Linked DNA regions of Cricetulus griseus. The protein of the gene in region 1 purifies or fractionates together with the protein of each later gene. This does not show direct contact. Links are inferred from orthologs where the notes say so. Each region holds a gene or a part of one and is shown in the gene's direction. Other genes may lie near its edges.

The links. The genes of interacting proteins can lie anywhere in the genome.
Region 2: the proteins of myomegalin (region 1) and Prkar2b purify together in Homo sapiens (affinity purification with mass spectrometry; 4 studies listed by BioGRID and IntAct, counting the BioPlex papers as one, with this or other methods). This does not show direct contact. The link is inferred for Cricetulus griseus from reciprocal best matches to the Homo sapiens genes PDE4DIP and PRKAR2B.
Region 3: the proteins of myomegalin (region 1) and Cdk5rap2 purify together in Homo sapiens (affinity purification with mass spectrometry; 3 studies listed by BioGRID and IntAct, counting the BioPlex papers as one, with this or other methods). This does not show direct contact. The link is inferred for Cricetulus griseus from reciprocal best matches to the Homo sapiens genes PDE4DIP and CDK5RAP2.

What each region holds. Positions count from the first base shown.
Region 1 is NW_023276806.1:58,785,240-58,790,716, forward strand, and holds part of myomegalin, read left to right. Parts: intron 1-283; coding exon 284-510; intron 511-1,267; coding exon of another isoform or gene 1,268-1,276; exon of another isoform or gene 1,277-1,291; intron 1,292-1,336; coding exon 1,337-1,480; intron 1,481-2,596; coding exon 2,597-2,735; intron 2,736-2,957; coding exon 2,958-3,004; intron 3,005-3,786; coding exon of another isoform or gene 3,787-3,838; intron 3,839-4,470; coding exon 4,471-4,512; coding exon of another isoform or gene 4,513-4,613; 3' UTR 4,614-5,477. UniProt on the Homo sapiens protein: Functions as an anchor sequestering components of the cAMP-dependent pathway to Golgi and/or centrosomes.
Region 2 is NC_048598.1:169,643,241-169,649,256, reverse strand, and holds the start of Prkar2b (cAMP-dependent protein kinase type II-beta regulatory subunit), read left to right. Parts: upstream 1-2,153; 5' UTR 2,154-2,383; coding exon 2,384-2,684; intron 2,685-6,016. UniProt on the Homo sapiens protein: Regulatory subunit of the cAMP-dependent protein kinases involved in cAMP signaling in cells. Type II regulatory chains mediate membrane association by binding to anchoring proteins, including the MAP2 kinase.
Region 3 is NC_048595.1:75,831,700-75,837,924, forward strand, and holds the start of Cdk5rap2 (CDK5 regulatory subunit-associated protein 2), read left to right. Parts: upstream 1-2,362; 5' UTR 2,363-2,539; coding exon 2,540-2,595; intron 2,596-6,225. UniProt on the Homo sapiens protein: Potential regulator of CDK5 activity via its interaction with CDK5R1. Negative regulator of centriole disengagement (licensing) which maintains centriole engagement and cohesion. Involved in regulation of mitotic spindle orientation.

The sequences.
Region 1 (5,477 bases):
GTGTCTTCCCACATAAGTTAATGCAGTGAAAATGATTTACCACAGGCATGCCCAGAGACCCACCTCAGGCAATTGTCTGTTGACAATTAACCACAACACAGTAAGATGTGTCTAACAAAGTGACATGAGAATAATTACAAACATGCAGAACATAGACTGCTCTGTGGACTCTGTATTTTTGAAGGCTGACTTGCTTCTTGCCTCTTAACTTGTCCCTTTGGAGTAGAGTGAACTGAAATTGTTATGATGTATAACAATGGTTCCTACTTTGTTTCTTTGCCAGAGCTGGGTTCAGATGATTCTACAATGATGACGAACCCTCCCAAGCTGGAGGGTGATGCTACTGATGGCTCCTTTGCCAACAAGCGTGGCCGACATGTCATCGGCCATATTGATGACTACAGTGCACTACAACAGCAGATTGGGGAAGGCAAGCTGCTGGTCCAAAAGATACTGTCTCTCTCGAGGCTAGCATGCAACATCCCTGGACCTGAAGCTCAGGGCACAGAGGTAAGAACATGAAGCTCTTGGGGACTGTCTTCTTCTGACTTTATCTTCTTTGCATAGTTCCCACTTCTCTGATTTACATCCCCCAGCCTTTTCTGTCTCCCATTTTCACTCTGCTACAGATCATGCTGACTCGATCCTTTGACTGAGAACCCTGGAAAACCCCATGTTTTATAGCGGAGCACTTGTGAAATGTTGATTACCATGTCACTATGTTCAGCATCTTTGGTAGCTTATCTGTAATAGGAATGCTGGCATGAAGCCATGTCTAACTAGATTAAAGTCAACCTGGTGGACTGGCATTCACATGAACCTGCACATACGGAAGGGAAGTAAAGCTGATAATGCAAGGTTCCCTGCAGACTAAGCAGAGAAGGGGAGGCAGCCGGTGAAACTCTTTAGTGAGCTTAGTAGTCAAGAGGGGCAGGCACAAGTGACAATGTTGTTTGAGAAATGGCCACTCATGGGTGTTTGCATAGGACAGCCTTGGTCTATAAGGACCCACTACTGAAGAGCAAGATAGAGTCGCTTGTTGATATGCACAATAAGGTGCCACAGACACACGTGAGGAGCTTCCCTCCAAGATTGCACTACAGACAAGGAAGGTACAGTTTCGTAGAGGATGTAATACAAGAATGAGGTTTGAAGGCTGGTAGGACATCCTGGGAGAAGGGTTCCAGGCAAAGGGACCAGCTTTCCTGGAAATGTAAGGAAAAGCCAAGGTTTCCACCAGGTCTGTGTCTTGTGCTTGTTCACATAGGAAGCTTGAGCTCTGTGATTGGAGAAATGGGATGCCCCAGTGATGGGGGTACCTGCCCTCTTTCTCCAGGTACCAGGTAACAAAAGCATCCGTGAGCTGCGGAGCAGCACCAGTGCCCTGAACCACACCCTGGAAGAGTCGGCATCTCTCCTCACCATGTTCTGGAGAGCAGCCTTGCCAAGCCAGCATGGGCCAGGACTGGTAGGCAAAGCGGTAAGAGGCTGGGTCTTTGGCTGGTTAAAACCTGCCTTTTCCATGCCAATATGGCCCTACTCCCAACTCCTCCAGCTTTCTTGATGGTCAAGGGTTATATGGCAGTTGGGATGGACAGGCTCTTCATGGAACATCGTGGAGGAAGACCTCTGAGCCAACGTGGCTGCCTTGCTGCAGCTCTAACACATTCTTTTCTCACCTTCCAACTCTTGATAAGACATCCAAGAGAAGGAAAGAATATAGGAAGTAGACATAATCAGCCTGGACACCCAGATTATGTCCAGTCTTGTACCCTGAAGTTTGGCCAAGCTTATCAAGAAACCTATTGACAATATGGCATTCTTCCTCCACCCCTAAGGTCCACCTGATCAAAAGATCATAGAATGTCACCATGAACATGAGAGCCTCTTATAGCCATGCTCTGTTGGTATCTCCGGCTCAAGCCTGGGAAAGCCAGCCACCTCCTGAAATCTGCTTGTCTCTCCAGCTATGGTTGGCAGACCCTTAGAGGTGTTCCAGCTGCAACTAACTGTTACTGATGTCTGTGGACCCAGTTACGCTAATTCAAGGTGTTTTCACATCTCCACAGTGGCAGATATTTCCAACTGTCCCACTGTCCTCTTCAGATATGACATCCCTGAACTCCTAAGTGTCACTAGACATAAGGAGTTCAGGAAATTCTACAGGACCAAACAGAGCTCTTGCTTGTGGTTGGGATTTTGTGCTGGCCTAGAGCAAGGCTCTCCCCAGCAGGCTTTGGTTTCTCCATGTCTCTCTTGTGGCCTGGTCCTCAGCTGTCTCCAGCTGGGATTTGAAAGTTTTGTTTGTTTGGTTTTTTGATAAAGGGTTTCTCTGCATATTTCTGTCTGTCCTGGAACTAGCTCTGTAGACCAGGCTGGCCTTAAACTCAGAGATCCACCTGCCTCTACATCTCAAATTCTGGAATTAAAGGTTCATGCCACCACTGCCCAGCTAAGATTTGAGAAGTTTTAAAGGAGAGAATTCAATACAAAATGTAGACAAGATGGATAGTATTCTGCTAGACCGTTAAGAGCTGCAAAGCACAGCATGTGTTTGGCCTTGTGAGTGTTGTCTGAGTCTATCCCTCTTCCTCAGGGACAGCTGATAGAGAAAGAAATCCTGGACCTGCGAGCCCAAGTGTCCCAGCAGGAACAGCTCCTACAGAAAACTAATGAACGTCTGAAGACAGCCAAGCAGAAGAAGAAGAACATGGAACAGTACATTGTGAACCACCGTAGGTGTCCCTGAGGGGCACATGGGAGCAGAGATGAGTAGTGACCAGAGGGACTTGAGAATGTTGAGGGAAGACACTGAGTAATGGTGGGTACAGAGGGAGGGGGTATGGCTAGCAATAGACTACACATTGAGTGAGAGAGAGAGTGTCTTAGGGCGCATATGCCAAGCAAGCCAGACTTAGCTGGTAATTTCCACATTGTGGGCTGTTTTATGTTTCCAGTGACCAGGACCCATGATGTCTTGAAGAAAGCACGGACTAATTTAGAGGTAAGGGCAACACAGCCACACTCAGCCACAGAGCCTGCCCTCAACCCACCACTGTCTGTCATCTGCGGGGCCCCTGGCTAGCTCTGACATCCTAAGAGGTTTCTGGTCCAGTGTAGGCCATGGCTCCTCAGCAAAGCCCACCCTACCTCACTCCCTGACCTCTCTGCTTGCCCTCATTGTGTTTTCATCTCTCCCTTTCACTGTAGATTTCACTGTAGCTGTGTGTGTGTGTGGGGGGGGGGTGAATAGGCTGGGGAAACAGAGCACAGGTGGCTCTTGAGGGCAGAGATATTTGAGTCCAACTATGAGGCCATTTGTGCACACTGGAGTTTCCTAAAAGCAGACAGAACCTTACAAATTGACCCCGCTGCCATTGCTGTGAGGTTGGGAGTATCCTTCTCTTTAAAGATCCCAGATGATCTTTGAGTCTCACTGATCTAGAAGGAAACGTGAAAATCAACACTGCCCCTAAGGGGGAAGACTCTCTCTCCCTGGCAGGTATTCTCCACAGTTACCTCAAATGCTAAGTGCTGGTCCTTTCCTGGGAAGCAGTGTGAGGGGAAACTTGGTATATGGGTTAAAGATCAGAAACGATTCTATGAACATAGACTCGACACTACCAGAGCCTCTGAGCAGATGCCCAGACAGCTCCTCATTGCATCTGCCTCAGTACAGGTGCAGAGGCCAGCATGGAAGGGGGTTGGGTCCTGATGTCGCTCACTCTTTTGTCTTGGTCTAATTCCTGCTCTCTGATGACTCCTTTCTTTCCCGAGCCCCTGTAGCACAGCTCTTACAAGATTGCCTCTGTGCAGCCATATTCCTGTCCCAGCAAAGGTAACCCAGCGGCCTCCAGCACCGCTGGCCCAGCCTGTGGACGCTTGCCTCTCCAGTTCCTAGGCCCCTAGGGAGGGCCTGTCACTAACTGGCTGTGTGGCTTTGGCTGGCCCCTTTATCTCTGAGCCTGCTGCCCCAAGTCTGTTATGGTAGAACCTGTCTTACATTATCTCCGAGGCCCTGATAACTACACCCCTCTCTGATAACTGGGACATGCATTTACCAGGGGGATTTCCTGCTGAATGTCCCCCCTTCTACAGAGGGCTTTCTGTGAGTGCTCATCTCCTGCTCAGCACTTCTTTTCTTGAGAGATACAAAAGGCCTTTTTGTTTTCTGTTCATTTGTTTGGTTCAGACCACTTGATTTGGAGCATGAACTGACTCCTGAAGGGAGAGTGATGGGGTCTGGCCACTCAGTGTCCAGTGGTGTAAGCAGGAAGAATCTGGGAGTGTGAAAGGCTTCCATCTAATCTGGGCTTTGGGAGCTTCTCCAGGCCAGCACTCCCCACCCCCGTGCTTGCCCTCCTAACCAGCTCTCAGACTCCTGGCTTCCAGCACATTTGCCTCTCATTCCAGCCTCCAGCAGGGTCTAATCACTCACTCTGACTAGATTTGTTTCCCTTTTGTCTGCAGGTGAAATCCTTAAGGGCCCGGCCACGCACCTCAGCCTTGTGACCCTTGCCTTCCAGGAGCCCCACAAGAAGCGAAGCCAGAAGCCCTTAAAACAGCAGGAAGGGTGGGCCTGCCCCTCTCTTGTGCAGCTGCCTATCTGCTGAGGAATACCTGGTTCCACTCCACCCCTGCTGGAGGTCCAGAAAAGGGCTCAGAGATGTGTCCACATGGGACAGGCAGGAAGGAGAGTGGCATCCTGGCAGCAGTGAATATGATTAGCTAAGGCCCACTGGGCCGGCACTAAGCAAAGCTGATGTAGACTGCACAGAAGGCCTTGTGGCCCTGCTTCTAAACAGCTTCAGTGGCATGGCACCCACCTCGTCACAGTTCTTGCCTCAGCATCTGTCCTCAAGACGGCCAACTCAGGGGAACTAGGACCTGGCTGCCCACAAATAGGATGTGTGGTTCCAACACCAAAGCTCCTCAGACAGTTGTAAAAGCACACTACTGAGCGGCAGTGCCCTGCTGGACAGTGTTGGGGTTCAGCAAGCTCCCCTCACAAACCCACTCTTGACCCAGGCCAGCCCTATGGGCCAAACCAGGTAGTACTTTGGTCTATACTACCACACTGGAGTTCTTTGAGTCTACACAGCAAACATGGTGACTTCTGGGTGCCCCATGCTTAGCCTATCACCTTCTGTTTCTTATATGATCTCAAGTTAAACTGGCTCCCTTAAATGTGCTGTCCCCCTATAATTCTAACTTCCCTCAGGGGGACTGGGGGCTGATGGCCACATCATACCTATTGAATGTCTAGCATAGAGCACACCTGTACCTCTTTTAATGGCATAGGCGAGGCTTGTTCTGTACTGAAGACTGTGTGTCTTCACAGTGCTCATATGATGTGGGTGTGTGTATAAATGTATAATATAGATAAATATGTTGCCATGGCCATGTGTTAAAGGCCATACTGTGCAGACAGGTGGGTGAGAGGATGCTACACAGTCTTTCTGATGGCTATTAAAGCA
Region 2 (6,016 bases), on another chromosome or scaffold:
AAATATAAAACAGAAAAAAAACATATTCAAGAAATGGTGCTGGTATAACTGGCTGTCAACATGTAGAAGAAGCAAATAGATGCATATATATCGCCATGCACAAAACTTAAGCCCAAATGGTTCAAGGACCTCAATATAAATCCATCCACATTGAACCTCATAGAAGAGAAAGTGGGAAATACATTTGAACATCGGAGATCAATTCCTGAATTTAACACCAGTAACACAGACACTCAGATTGACAATTAATAAATGGGACCTCCAGAAACTGAGAAGCTTCTGTAAAGCAAAGGACACAGTCAACAAGACAAAACGGCTCCCCACAGAATGGGAACAATTCTTTACCAACCTTATATCTGATGGAGGGCTGATCTCCAACATATAGAAAGAGTTGAAAAAACTAGACATCAAATTACCAAATAATCCAATTTAAAAATGGGGTATAGATCTAAACAGAGAATTCTCAACAGAACAATCTCAAATGGCAGAAAGACTCTTAAGGAAATGCTCAATATCCTTAGTCATCAGGGAAATGCCAATCAAAACCACTCTGATATCCCATCTTACACTGATCAGAATTGCTAACATCAAAAACAACAATGACAGCTTATGCTTGAGAGGATGTGGAATAAAGGGGAACATTCCTCCTTTGCTGGTGGGAGTACAAACTTATACAGCCACTGTAGAAATCAGTATATCAATTTCTCAGAATATTAGGGTTCAACCTACCTCAAGACCCAGCAATACCACTCTTGGGCATATACCCAAAGGATGCACACTCACCAAACAAGGACATTGCTCAACTATGTTCATAGCAACATTATTGGTAATAGCCAAAACCTGGAAACAACCTACATGCCCCTCAACTGAAGAATGGATAAAGAAAATGTGGTACATTTACACAATGGAGTACTATTCAGTGTTAAGAAACAATGGCATCCTAAAAACCATCCTGAGTGAGGTAACCCAAAACCAGAAAGACAAATATACCAGACATAAAGCAAAAGATACCCAGCCTATAATCCACAACCCCAGAGGAGCTTGCATCCTCTTCCAGAAACAGATGGAAGCAGATGCAGAAATCCACAACTAACCAATGGGCCAAGCTCCTGGAGTACAATCAAAGTGAGAGAGGAGTGATAATATGAACAAAGGAGTCAAGACCATGATGGGGAAACCAGGTGACCCGAGCCAGTGAGAGATCACTTATTCAGGTCTGACAAATGGGGTATCTACGTAAGACTGAACTAGACTCCCTTAATATAGTTGACAATGGTGTGACTGGGACAATATATGAGGCCACTGGCAATGGGTCCAAGACCTAACACTAATGCATAAACAGACTGACTTAGTGGAGCCCATTCTATATGGAGAGCCACCTTGCCCAGCGTAGAAACGGGGTGGGGTTGAAGAGGTGCTTTGGTCCTGACTCAACTAGATGATGGGACAGACTTAGTAGACTTCCTAGGGGAGGCCCTACCCTTTCCGAGGAGCAGACGGGATGGGGAGGGAGTGGGAGGAGAGGAGGGAGGGGTGCTTGATAATAATAATTTATTTTTTTGGTGTTTTGGAGACAGGGTTTCTCTGTGGCTTTGAAGGTTGTCCTGGAACTAGCTCTTGTAGACCAGGCTGGTCTCGAACAAATTAATAAAAATTGAATAAATAAATGTTGCCTTTGTCTCAGCAACTAGCAAGAAATGCACCAAGCATGCCGTGGCAGAACATCTGCACAGCAAGCTGACCATCACAGCCAGGTGACTGAAAAGCGGGAAAAAACCTAGTGAAAGAAAATGTTGTAACAAATAAGTAGCCATATTTCCTGTATCCAAAAGAGAACCAGTACAGCTGTGTGACTTTAACAAAAGACACCATGCACATTTCTCTTACTGTTGGCTTCTAGGAGAAGAAAAGCCACCACCAAGGTGGAGGCTGAAGTTTCAGAACAAATTGCACGACGCCAACTCCGGGAGGGCTTGGGCAGAATGATGCGCAGGATCTGCTCTGAGAGCTGTCGGCCTCACGCCCTAGGTTCCCGCTGCCTCCACCCAGAGGCCACTTAGCAAGTGGCGCTGAACCCGCCTGCCGGGTTGCCATGGTTTCCGGGGATCACGTGGGCGCGCGGGCGGGGGCGGGGCGCCGGGCGTGGGGCGGTGCAGTGGTGGCGGGAGAGGGAGCGGGAGGAGCTGGAGATGCTGCCAACCCTCCCGGGCTGTGCTCGCTCTGCCGCCGCCGCCGCCGCACGGAGCAGCCGCGCCAGGGGCCCAGGGCGCCGCGTTCGCAGCCGGTAGCGCCGGGGGCGCTCGCTCGGGGCCGCGCAGCCTGAGACCGGACAGCGGACAGGGTGCGAGGGCGGCGCCCAGGCGCCGGGGCGTGCACAGGCAGGATGAGCATCGAGATCCCCGCGGGGCTCACGGAGCTGCTGCAGGGCTTCACGGTGGAGGTGCTGAGGCACCAGCCGGCCGACCTGCTGGAGTTCGCGCTGCAGCACTTCACGCGGCTGCAGCAGGAGAACGAGCGCAAGGGCGCCGCTTGCTTCGGCCATGAGGGCAGGACCTGGGGGAACGCGGGCGCCGCCGTCGGGGGCGGCGCCCCCAGTAAGGGTGTCAACTTCGCTGAGGAGCCCATGCGCTCCGACTCCGAAAACGGCGAGGAGGAGGAGGCCGCGGAAGCAGGGGCGTTCAATGGTGAGGACCGGCCCCCTCGCGCCCTGACCACCGCGCCCGCCCGCCCGTCTCGCTCGCCAACCCCGCCTTGCTCTCGAACCCTGCGCTGAGCTCCCCACCTTCCCCGAACTCTCTATCTTCCCATCCCGCCCACACCCACCCACCCCGGCACCCATTTCGGTCTCCCACTCGCCCACCTTCCTACTCCGCTCTCTTGCCAAGCCCTCCCTTTCTCTGGAGGTGGAGAAATGAAAGGTTGCGCTCCGCAGCCCCTCTGTCACCTTTCTTCCTTGGCCGATTTGGGGTGGGCATCTTGCTGGAAGGTTAACTTTCCCGTGGCTGGAGATGTCTCAGTCTTGGAGAGTGCCATTGTGCATGAAGGGCGCTTGGTGTCCTCTTTTCAGCCCTTAAATTTATTAATGGAGTGTTCGCAGAGAAAAAGGCAAGCGTGTAGGACTCAGTAAGAGGAGTGTGACATCGACTCACTAAGGTAAAGCAAATGAATGGTAATAGCTGTGACATCCTTGGAATACGAATAATTTATTATTTTCCAATATCATGTGGTGGAGATATTTTTGGACGCATAACAAAGGATCACATTTAGCCAGATATGTAAGGGGTCTCTGAAGTGAGGAAATAGGCCAATGATTTTCTTTTCTTAAAAAATTTCAAAACATATATTGAATGGTTTGATTTTTTTTAAGTGTGTGGGAAAAAAATAACACCATAGGAAGCTCTAAGAGCATGTCGGCTGTCTTTAGAATGAAAAGCCAGTGAGTAACTGTAAGGACCTTGCCAGACACTGAGGCTAGAAAGAATGAATGAGAGAGAAAAGGAATTTTCTTAAATAGCTGCCAAAAGGCAAGTGCCGTCCCTCGTGCTTCCCAACCTCTCCCTGACACACCAGATACACACATACACACACACACACACACACACACACACACACACACACACACACACACACACACGTTCACAGTCCCTTGTATTTACACAGTGTTTTTCAGGAACCCAGGCTAAAATGCCATGGTGTGCAAATGTACTAGTGTTTTCTATGTGGTGTAAGGCAAGCACGCATGCAACTTTTATTTATTTATAGTGCTGGTGATTTGTGTGTCCACAATGCATTTCATACAATGAAAACACTTCATTTCCTGTGTCCCTTCCTAGAAAGATTTTTTATTTCTTTGTAGAATTAATTACATATTGGCTGGGTTACAAGAGTAATGCACTTTTAGCTGGTCTAAAACGTGAAACTGTGGACATTAGTGCTCTTTAAATGTGAAAGGGAAGATTACTATTTAAAAATCTTAATATGGGACATTTGGTGCTTTTGAGGATAGGGTAGTCATAAATTCAATTGTTCCCACACCAAATCAAATGCTTGTCCTGCAGTGTCATCTATGACGTGTGTGCACACGCCCTTGTGCACACACTGTGTGTGAAGGGAGATACACATGGAGGCAAGCAGTACACAAAGGAGATAGGGACTGGATGGCAGGCAACAGGAGATGGGGGACTTGGTAAAGAACCTTTATGCTCTTCAGACTATGATGTTAATACAGCTAACCCCTTTTTGTTTAATTCTCTTGAAGTACTTTGCATTGACTTGATTTCTCCTTGCAAGGGTGTGTATCCTGCACATTGGAACAAAGAAGTGCATTTGTAAGCAGTAGGGGTATTTACTTTTATGAAGCTTTATATTCTTCAAGTCATCTTTCCTATAAAATTACTCAAGGTCAGTTGTAATGAATACTTAACTAGTTTATTCCCACCTCTACCTCCAGGGATTTCAGAAGTTTTGGCTCTACCCTAGCACAATTTGATCATTATCCAGCAGATGTATGTTTGGTGTTAGTATAATCTCTGTTGGGGCAGTTCATTTTTATTCTTCTAAGTCACACTCTTGTTCCCATAGAAGTAAACTGTGTAAGAAGCGGTTAAAAACAATTGTAGGCTATAGAATGCTTGGCAGACTTTTTTGTGAATGGCCCTTTCAGACTGTGGGCATCTTATCATCTGGATCATTTTTTTTCCAAATAGATCTTTAACCAAGTGTACTCTCTGGAGCTTGAATTCATACAAGGCCATAGTTTACTCCTGGACAAAGGGGGAAATATATATATAGTCATGTGCATGTATGCACATACACGCACGCACGCCCTCTCTCTCTCTCTCTCTCTCTCTCTCTCTCTCTCTCTCTCTCTCTCTCTCACACACATACACACACACACACACACACACACACACACACACACACACACACACTTCAAGATATACTCATTTGTGGAAAAGACACACATGGGAAATTGACCAAAACCCTACAGACCTATTAAGGTATGTCTATATCCAGGAGAATACTTAAGACACTAGGTCATTCTCTTGGCACAGGAGAGAGTACGTGTGGACGGACACCAGTCTGTGTGGCACAGCACAGGGTACAGGATCAATGAAGCTTACATTTCACGTGCAGCTTGAAGTTTGGGAAAATAACATTATCTAGTACCTTCTTAGAGAACTGTTATGAATAGGTGGGACATAGATTCTTTTTCTTTTTGGTCAACAAACACCTCAGGTTTTCTGGCACCTACAGTGCCCTGACCACATTTTGAAAACACTGGTTGGTGGATCATGACGATCATGACCATAAAGTAGCCCCTGTTATTATTAATGATTAGAGAAAGGGCAGCCATTTGTTGACATTTTTGGTGTGCTAGGTTCTCTGGAAATGTCTTCGTTCATCATTCCAGCTCCATGACACTAATGAGGCTGTCACTTATTCTGTGCTTTATAGTTAGTGTGCTGCAAAAGCAGAGCTGGCACAGGTGGGCCTACTTCCATCCCAGTACTCTTGTCTACCAGGTTTATCTCCAGAAGGGGCTGGGGCCAACTTGACCTGTGCTAGCTCCCCCCACTGCCTTTTAATGTTTTTCTTTATTATTTTTCATTTTTAAAAGTCTTATTTTACATACCAATCCCAGTTCCCTCTCCCTGCAGCCCTGCTCCTCCCCACCTTCTTCCCACTCCACCCCCCATGAAACCTCCCATGGGGAATCAACAAAGTCTGTCATATCACTTGAGGCAGGAGCAAGTCTCCCCATCCCCCATGTATCTAGGCTGACCAGTCCTAGAGAGGGAAGAGTGATAACATGAGCAAAGGGGTCAAGACCATGATGAGGAAACCCACAGAATCAGCTGACCTGAGACAGTGGGAGCTCACTAACTCCAGACTGACAGCTGGAGAACCTGCATAAGACCAAACCAGGCCCTCCAAATGTGGGTGACAGTTGGGTGACTTGGACAGTTTGTGGGGCCACTAGCAGGGGAACCAGTATTTATCCCTAGTGAATGAA
Region 3 (6,225 bases), on another chromosome or scaffold:
AAAAAATGGACCAGTATAAAGAGCGATGTGAATGTTTTAACATGTAAAAAACTATTCTTGCTGTTAGTAATAGCAACTCTACTGTCTTGAACTGCTACAACTTGAGAGGGTTCCTGCCAAATCAAAAGCATCTGGACACAAACCACTTCCAGCCATGCAGAATGCCCTCATCCAAGGAAGTAAGAATGCTGTCTTTGTGGCTGGATGGCTGTTGTCAAGGAGATGGCTCCAGATAGCCCAAACAGCTGATGGGAATGATGTCACTTCTGGGCTTGGCAGAAAGAAAAACCACAATGAGAAAAACGGAGCAATGGCCTCTCTGTCTATAACCATGAATATGCTACAGTAGCAGGAAAAACAACTTCCGATACAGTTTTTCTTTTGTATAATTGATTCTATTTTCAGTTTCATCAAAGTTTAAGCTCATAACCCACAAATATGGCCTACTGAATAGGACAGGGATTAATGAATGGGAACTTCCTATGGGTTCTTTATGGTTCTCTACTCCATTTTTGTATGTGGGAAAGCAAAAGAACTGAAAGGGGAAGAGGTTACAAAATGAGCTGTAGTTAGAATCTAGGCATCCACACTCCTGAAATCCTATCACAGCCACCTTGAGACATCTCCTTAAAGAATAGAATCTGTTGATTATAGCATTTAAGTACTATGCTATCTACACTAGACTTTATGTCTTTCTTTGATTTCTGTTTTTGTTACATTTTATACATACATACATACATACATACATACATACATACATACAGTTTGCTATCATCATATTCATCACCTCACATTGCGCTCTTCTGTTCTCATGCACTCCTGATGACTCCTTTGTTCTTTCCAACTAGTCTCTTACTTTCCTGTCCTTTTTCTCCCCACTAAGTTTAAATAGGGTTGCTTATATGAGCATGGATGGGGGTTATTCATTGGAGTATGTGCAACTTACCATGGAAGATAATGACACCTCCTCTTCCAGCAATCACAGATCTCATGTCTCAACTGTAAGTTCTAAGATGGAAAAAGAACTGAACACTTGGGGAATATGGCCTGTCTGAACCTTTTAGGACATTGGAGTTCAGAGGCATCTGGGCTCAAATCACAGCTCTGACTCTTGCCAGTTTGCAAAGAAAGAGTATTTGAGGTTATGGAGGAATGGGAATGAATATGAACATGTGAACATATTACTACTGACAGAATTACTACTGACAGAATTCCTAAAGATATCTCAGGTCATCCTTACAAAAACCTTGTAGGTTAGGTACTAGCCCCATTATCTCAGCACTTGAGCTTGTCAGTCATGGACACCCACTCCTTCCCCCAGAACCACAGAATATAGCAGGTCTGGAGCTAGTGTTGTGCAGTACAAACAGCCTTGTAACTATTGAGGGCCCAGCCAAAACAAAAACAAACAAACTGGCAGTAGGAGATACTTAACTGCTAGGGACCACTGTTCCACATCCATACATCCTCCCTATCCCTCTCTCTTTCCCTCTCCTCTTCCCTCTCTCCCTTACTTTTTCTTCCTCCCCACTCACTCCCTCTCCCCCACTCCACTTTAAGTTCCTCTCTCTCACTCCTGTGTAGATTTATTAAAGAAAAGTGAAGAAAAAACTCTGAGAGTGGGAGGGGTTCCAAGGAGGAATAGCTGAAATTCCAGTTTTGTAAAGATCATAATTTGAGAGGCAACACAGTGGCTTTTCTCATAATATCTTCGTTCTCTCCAGGAAGGTTAAAACATGGCTCCAGAGGACCCAGATCTCCATGCCAGAAGCTAAGGATCTGGTTTTGGTGGATAGTAAACTTGAATATTTCTTCTCCCCGGGTCTCAGTTTACTGATTGTTGGTGCATGAGTTCTAACGGTAACAAATTTCATTGAAAGCTTTGACATGAAGTATGCCTGACCCCTTTATAGGTATGAGGCATCAAACTCAGTCTGTAAATTACTGCTTATACTAGCGCTCCACAGGTGGTATTTTTCTAAATAGAGGTAGAACTCAATTATCTGAGTTTCAACATAAGGCAGAAGTCTTTTGAGTAAAAGAACCAAGGCGCGAGTGTGTAGTCATGATTATAGAACAGCAAACAGAATTAGACACTATGAGTTGTCCCACCTCCCGCTTAAATTAACTGACCAGGGCGGATTTTCACCCTCAACAAATATGGCCCCTGCCTTGGCTTCATCACGAGTACCCGCACACATAAAAAATGGCGGCCAGCGTCTCTTTTCTTAGTATTACAGGTTCAAGAGCGAAGATTCTGCCCTGAGTTAAGATGGCGTCCACTCATGCTTTCCCTGCCCGGTTTCAGGCCGGTTCAGGGCGGCTTCACCCCGTGTGCCAGATGACCCCGCCCTGTTTCCGTAGGAAGAAGCAAGGAAAAGATGGCGGCGGCTGCGGTTTGAATTCCAGTGGCGCCGCTAGACTGAGAACAAGAGCTGGGTTGGAAGGGGCGGGACCTGGGGAACCGAGCAGGTCGCCACAGCTCGGGGAACCAGTGGCGCCTCCGCAGACACCGGTGCCACCATCTCGGTGTTCAGTAATGGACTCGGGAATGGAAGAGGACATCACCCTGCCTGTGACCCTCAGCGGCTGCAGGTGTGGCCCTGATTTTGGGGTTCATGGTAACTGGGTTGGGGTTCCTATTGATGGTGGTTCTCTCCCGTGAGGCCTTCCGTTTGTTTGAGGATGGTCCCTGCTGCTGCCTGCGTGTGTTAGGACCTGGGGGTGTCCAGCCAGCTCCACATTCGTCTGTGGTATTCTGGAACATACTTTGAGAGAATGTGTAGGATAGGTAAGGGACTTTGTGAAAGACGGGGAGGAGGTGGGACTAATTGGGATTTCTATTAATAGGGGCTGGGTTGGGACCGGGACCCTAGGGCACTTGGTGAATAATTTTTGTTTGGGGGTTTGCATTCATTATGGGGCGTGTAGTTGTTATTTTAAACTTTGGGGGCGGGCACAGTAGCCTCCCAGGACAGAGGCATCAGTGCAGGAGTTAAGATCCTTGGCTGAAGATGGACAGAACTGGGTTTAGGTCCACCCAAAAAAGTGACAATGTGGGTGACCTTGGTAAATTGACTTCTGCTCTGTGAAATGGGCTAATGGTAATACGCACGTATGCACTCACCATAATTGGATGAGAATGAAAAGAAACAATGGCTGCCCAGCAGTTCTCTTGGCAAGTGCAGCAGCTGACACAACAGTGTTGAGAAGGGGGATCAGTGTTACCATCATGACCACTGCTACAAGTTGTGTCTTCTATCCAAAGCCCTTGGGACCAGAAATTAGATTATTTTGGACATTTGGAATAGGTTGTTGGCAAGGGAACTAAACTAGCACAGTGTCTAACTTAATGGATCTGCTAATACTCTCCTTTCCTTCCTCTCCCAGCCTTGATAGGACAGATACTGCATTCATTTCTGGTAATTCGAATCTTAACCTACTCTAGGCCCTCCAGGCAACTTGCTGTCTGCAGGATGAAGTTCTGTAATGTGGCTTCCATGTTTCTCCATAGACTGCTGCATCTGCTTCTCTTGCTTCACCCCCACTGTCTCTCTCTGGTTCCCAACCCTGTCTTTGCCCTATGCCTGATTGCCAAGCTCAAGCTCAGTGTCAGGAATGATCTTGCTGTGTTTCTTGCTGCTGGGCCTGTGCACTTGCTGTTCTTGCTGCCTCAGTTGTCCTTTGTACACCTTTTGCCTTATCTTCCAGTTATCTTTTGCCTAACATCTTCCACTGTTAGGAAACCCTCACTGATATTCCCACCCTTGACTGGACTGTTCCAGGTACCCTCGCTTGTCATTGTCCGAACCTTGTTGACAGCCCAATAGCACTGTCCAATAGAAATACGACCTGTGGTGTGTATTTAATTAAAAACTTCCTTGTAAGCCAGGAATGGTGGTGCTCACCTTTGATGTCAGCACTGGGGAGGTAGAGGTAGGTGGACCTCAGAGTTCCAGGCCAGCCTGATCTACAGAACCAGTTCTAGGTTAGCCCGGGCAATACAGAGAAACCCTATCTCTAAAAACTAAAACAAGAACAAAAACTTTCTGGTAGTCACAATTAAAAAAAGTAAATAAAAAGAAGCAAGTAAAATTCCTTTCTCTATGGTGCTGGAGGTTGAACAGGGGGCCTCACATGTGCTCAGCAAGTGCTTTACCACCGGGCAGCAGTACCATTGGGAGCAAGTGACTTAATAACATACTTTATTTAGTTTGAGATTTCCATATATAATTCTAGAAAAATCTATAAGAAAACTTGTTGATGAGGTATTTTATGCTTTTCAGTCTTAATCTTTGACATCTGGTATGAGTTTTTACACTTAAATTCCTTCTCAGTTGGACAAACTGCGTTTCAAGTTCTAGTTAATGGCCTGTGTATTGGATGATACAGGTGTTGGCTATTAACATATGGCCACCAGATGAGATGGAAACTCGTTTTAGAACAGGAACTTTAAGTCACTGTGAGAAATGATTCCCTGAGGGGCCACTTTTGTCTCCTTGTTATCCGTGGGACCCCTGAAGCTCAGAGAGCTAAAACAAATGGTCTGGGGTCACATAAAGAGTTCATGATAAGTCAGCATTTAAATCCAAGTTTCCTGATTCCAGAACCTGTTTTGCCTTCTGGATGGTCTGAACTAATCAAAGTGAGTATTCAGGAGCTCTTACTGAGCTTCTGGCACTGAACTGGCCCTTCAAGAGTATGTATCAGAAATATTCCGGGGGGTGGGGGTGGGAGGGGTGGGTGGGTGGAGATGGGTCTCCATTAGGTAACCACAATGGGAGAAAATAGTTCCTATGATAAAGTATCATTTTCATTTTAGTATGTTGCTTTCTGAGCAACCTTCTCTTGGTAATTTGCAAGCCCCATGTTTACAGCCTAAACTGAACCCAGTTTGTCCTTGAACTTTTGTTTCTTTAGGTAAGGATACACTATTTGCTCCAAACCTAATCCTTGTGCATGTTTCAAGCAGCTTTATCCCCATGGAATTTGGACCCAGGGATCCTGCCCCAGTTAAGACTTCTGCATCTTTTTATGTAGAAAGACCTGTGCTTGGCAGTCAATATGATAGCACAGATGACTGTAAAAACCCTCATTCAGCCCCTTGCTGGTTATGCTGCTTTGAATAAGTCACTTCCCTTCCAACCCTCAGTTTCTCTTTGTTGGTATACTCGGTTTACTGATATCTGTGCCGATGAAGTACAAGTGTGCATAGTAAGCGCTTGGCATATACTGGAGAAAATGTGAATTTGGTTTGTGTTCTTAAATGAACACCATCATGCACACTGTTGGTTGTACAGAATCCTCAACACTGTAGCCCTCAGTCCAGCTCTTTGTTTACATGCCAAGAGTCTGTCTGTGCTCAGCTGTGAGTGTCCTGAGGCCTGAGCCCAAGCTTTCTGAATCATGGGTTGCTCTAGCACATGGTCACTAAGTACTTGCTGCCATGTTAGGAGCATACTGGAAGGAAATGTTTAGTCATAAGCACAGTATATGTGTCCTCATCATGGATGCCAGGAGAAAGGGTCTGAAAAGAGGACATGAGGGTGAAATCGGATGAAGGCTTGATGGTAGTGAGAGGGCTGGCTTGGATCCAAGGTTTTCTTGGGCTGTGAGGCTTGAGGAGAACTGTGGTTCTTCAGTTAGTAAAGGGCCAGAGTTTGATTCCCAGACCCCACATACAAAATTCTGAGCTTGGTGATATGTGCTAGAGGGGCTGAGATCAGATCCCTGGAGCTGGCAAATTAGCCACTTTAGCGGAATCTGCAAACCCCAGGCCCAAGAAAAAAAGACCCTGTTTCAAACAAAAGAAAACAACCACGGCAGCTGGCTTCTGAGGAATGGCCTCCAGGCTAACCTCTCACCTCCAGGTGTGTCTGCACACTCCTGTGCATACATCCACAGTGACATGTGCCCCCAGCGTGAACAGGAGCACATACATGAAGATGTAATTTTTATATCATAAAGCTTACCCATTTAAAGTAAACTACAGAATGTAAATGGTGTGTAACATCACCATAATCCATATTGGGAACATTTTCAATTATTTGAAAAGAAACACATGTCCATTAGCAATCCTTTCTCATTTTTCTCTTGTCATCCTGTCCCCAAGGCAGGCCCCCTTGCCCACAATATTTTTTACTCTATAGATTTACCTATTCACAGATAAGATTCCTAACAATTCACATTCTTTTGTGAGATCCACATTGCAGCATGCATCACTAC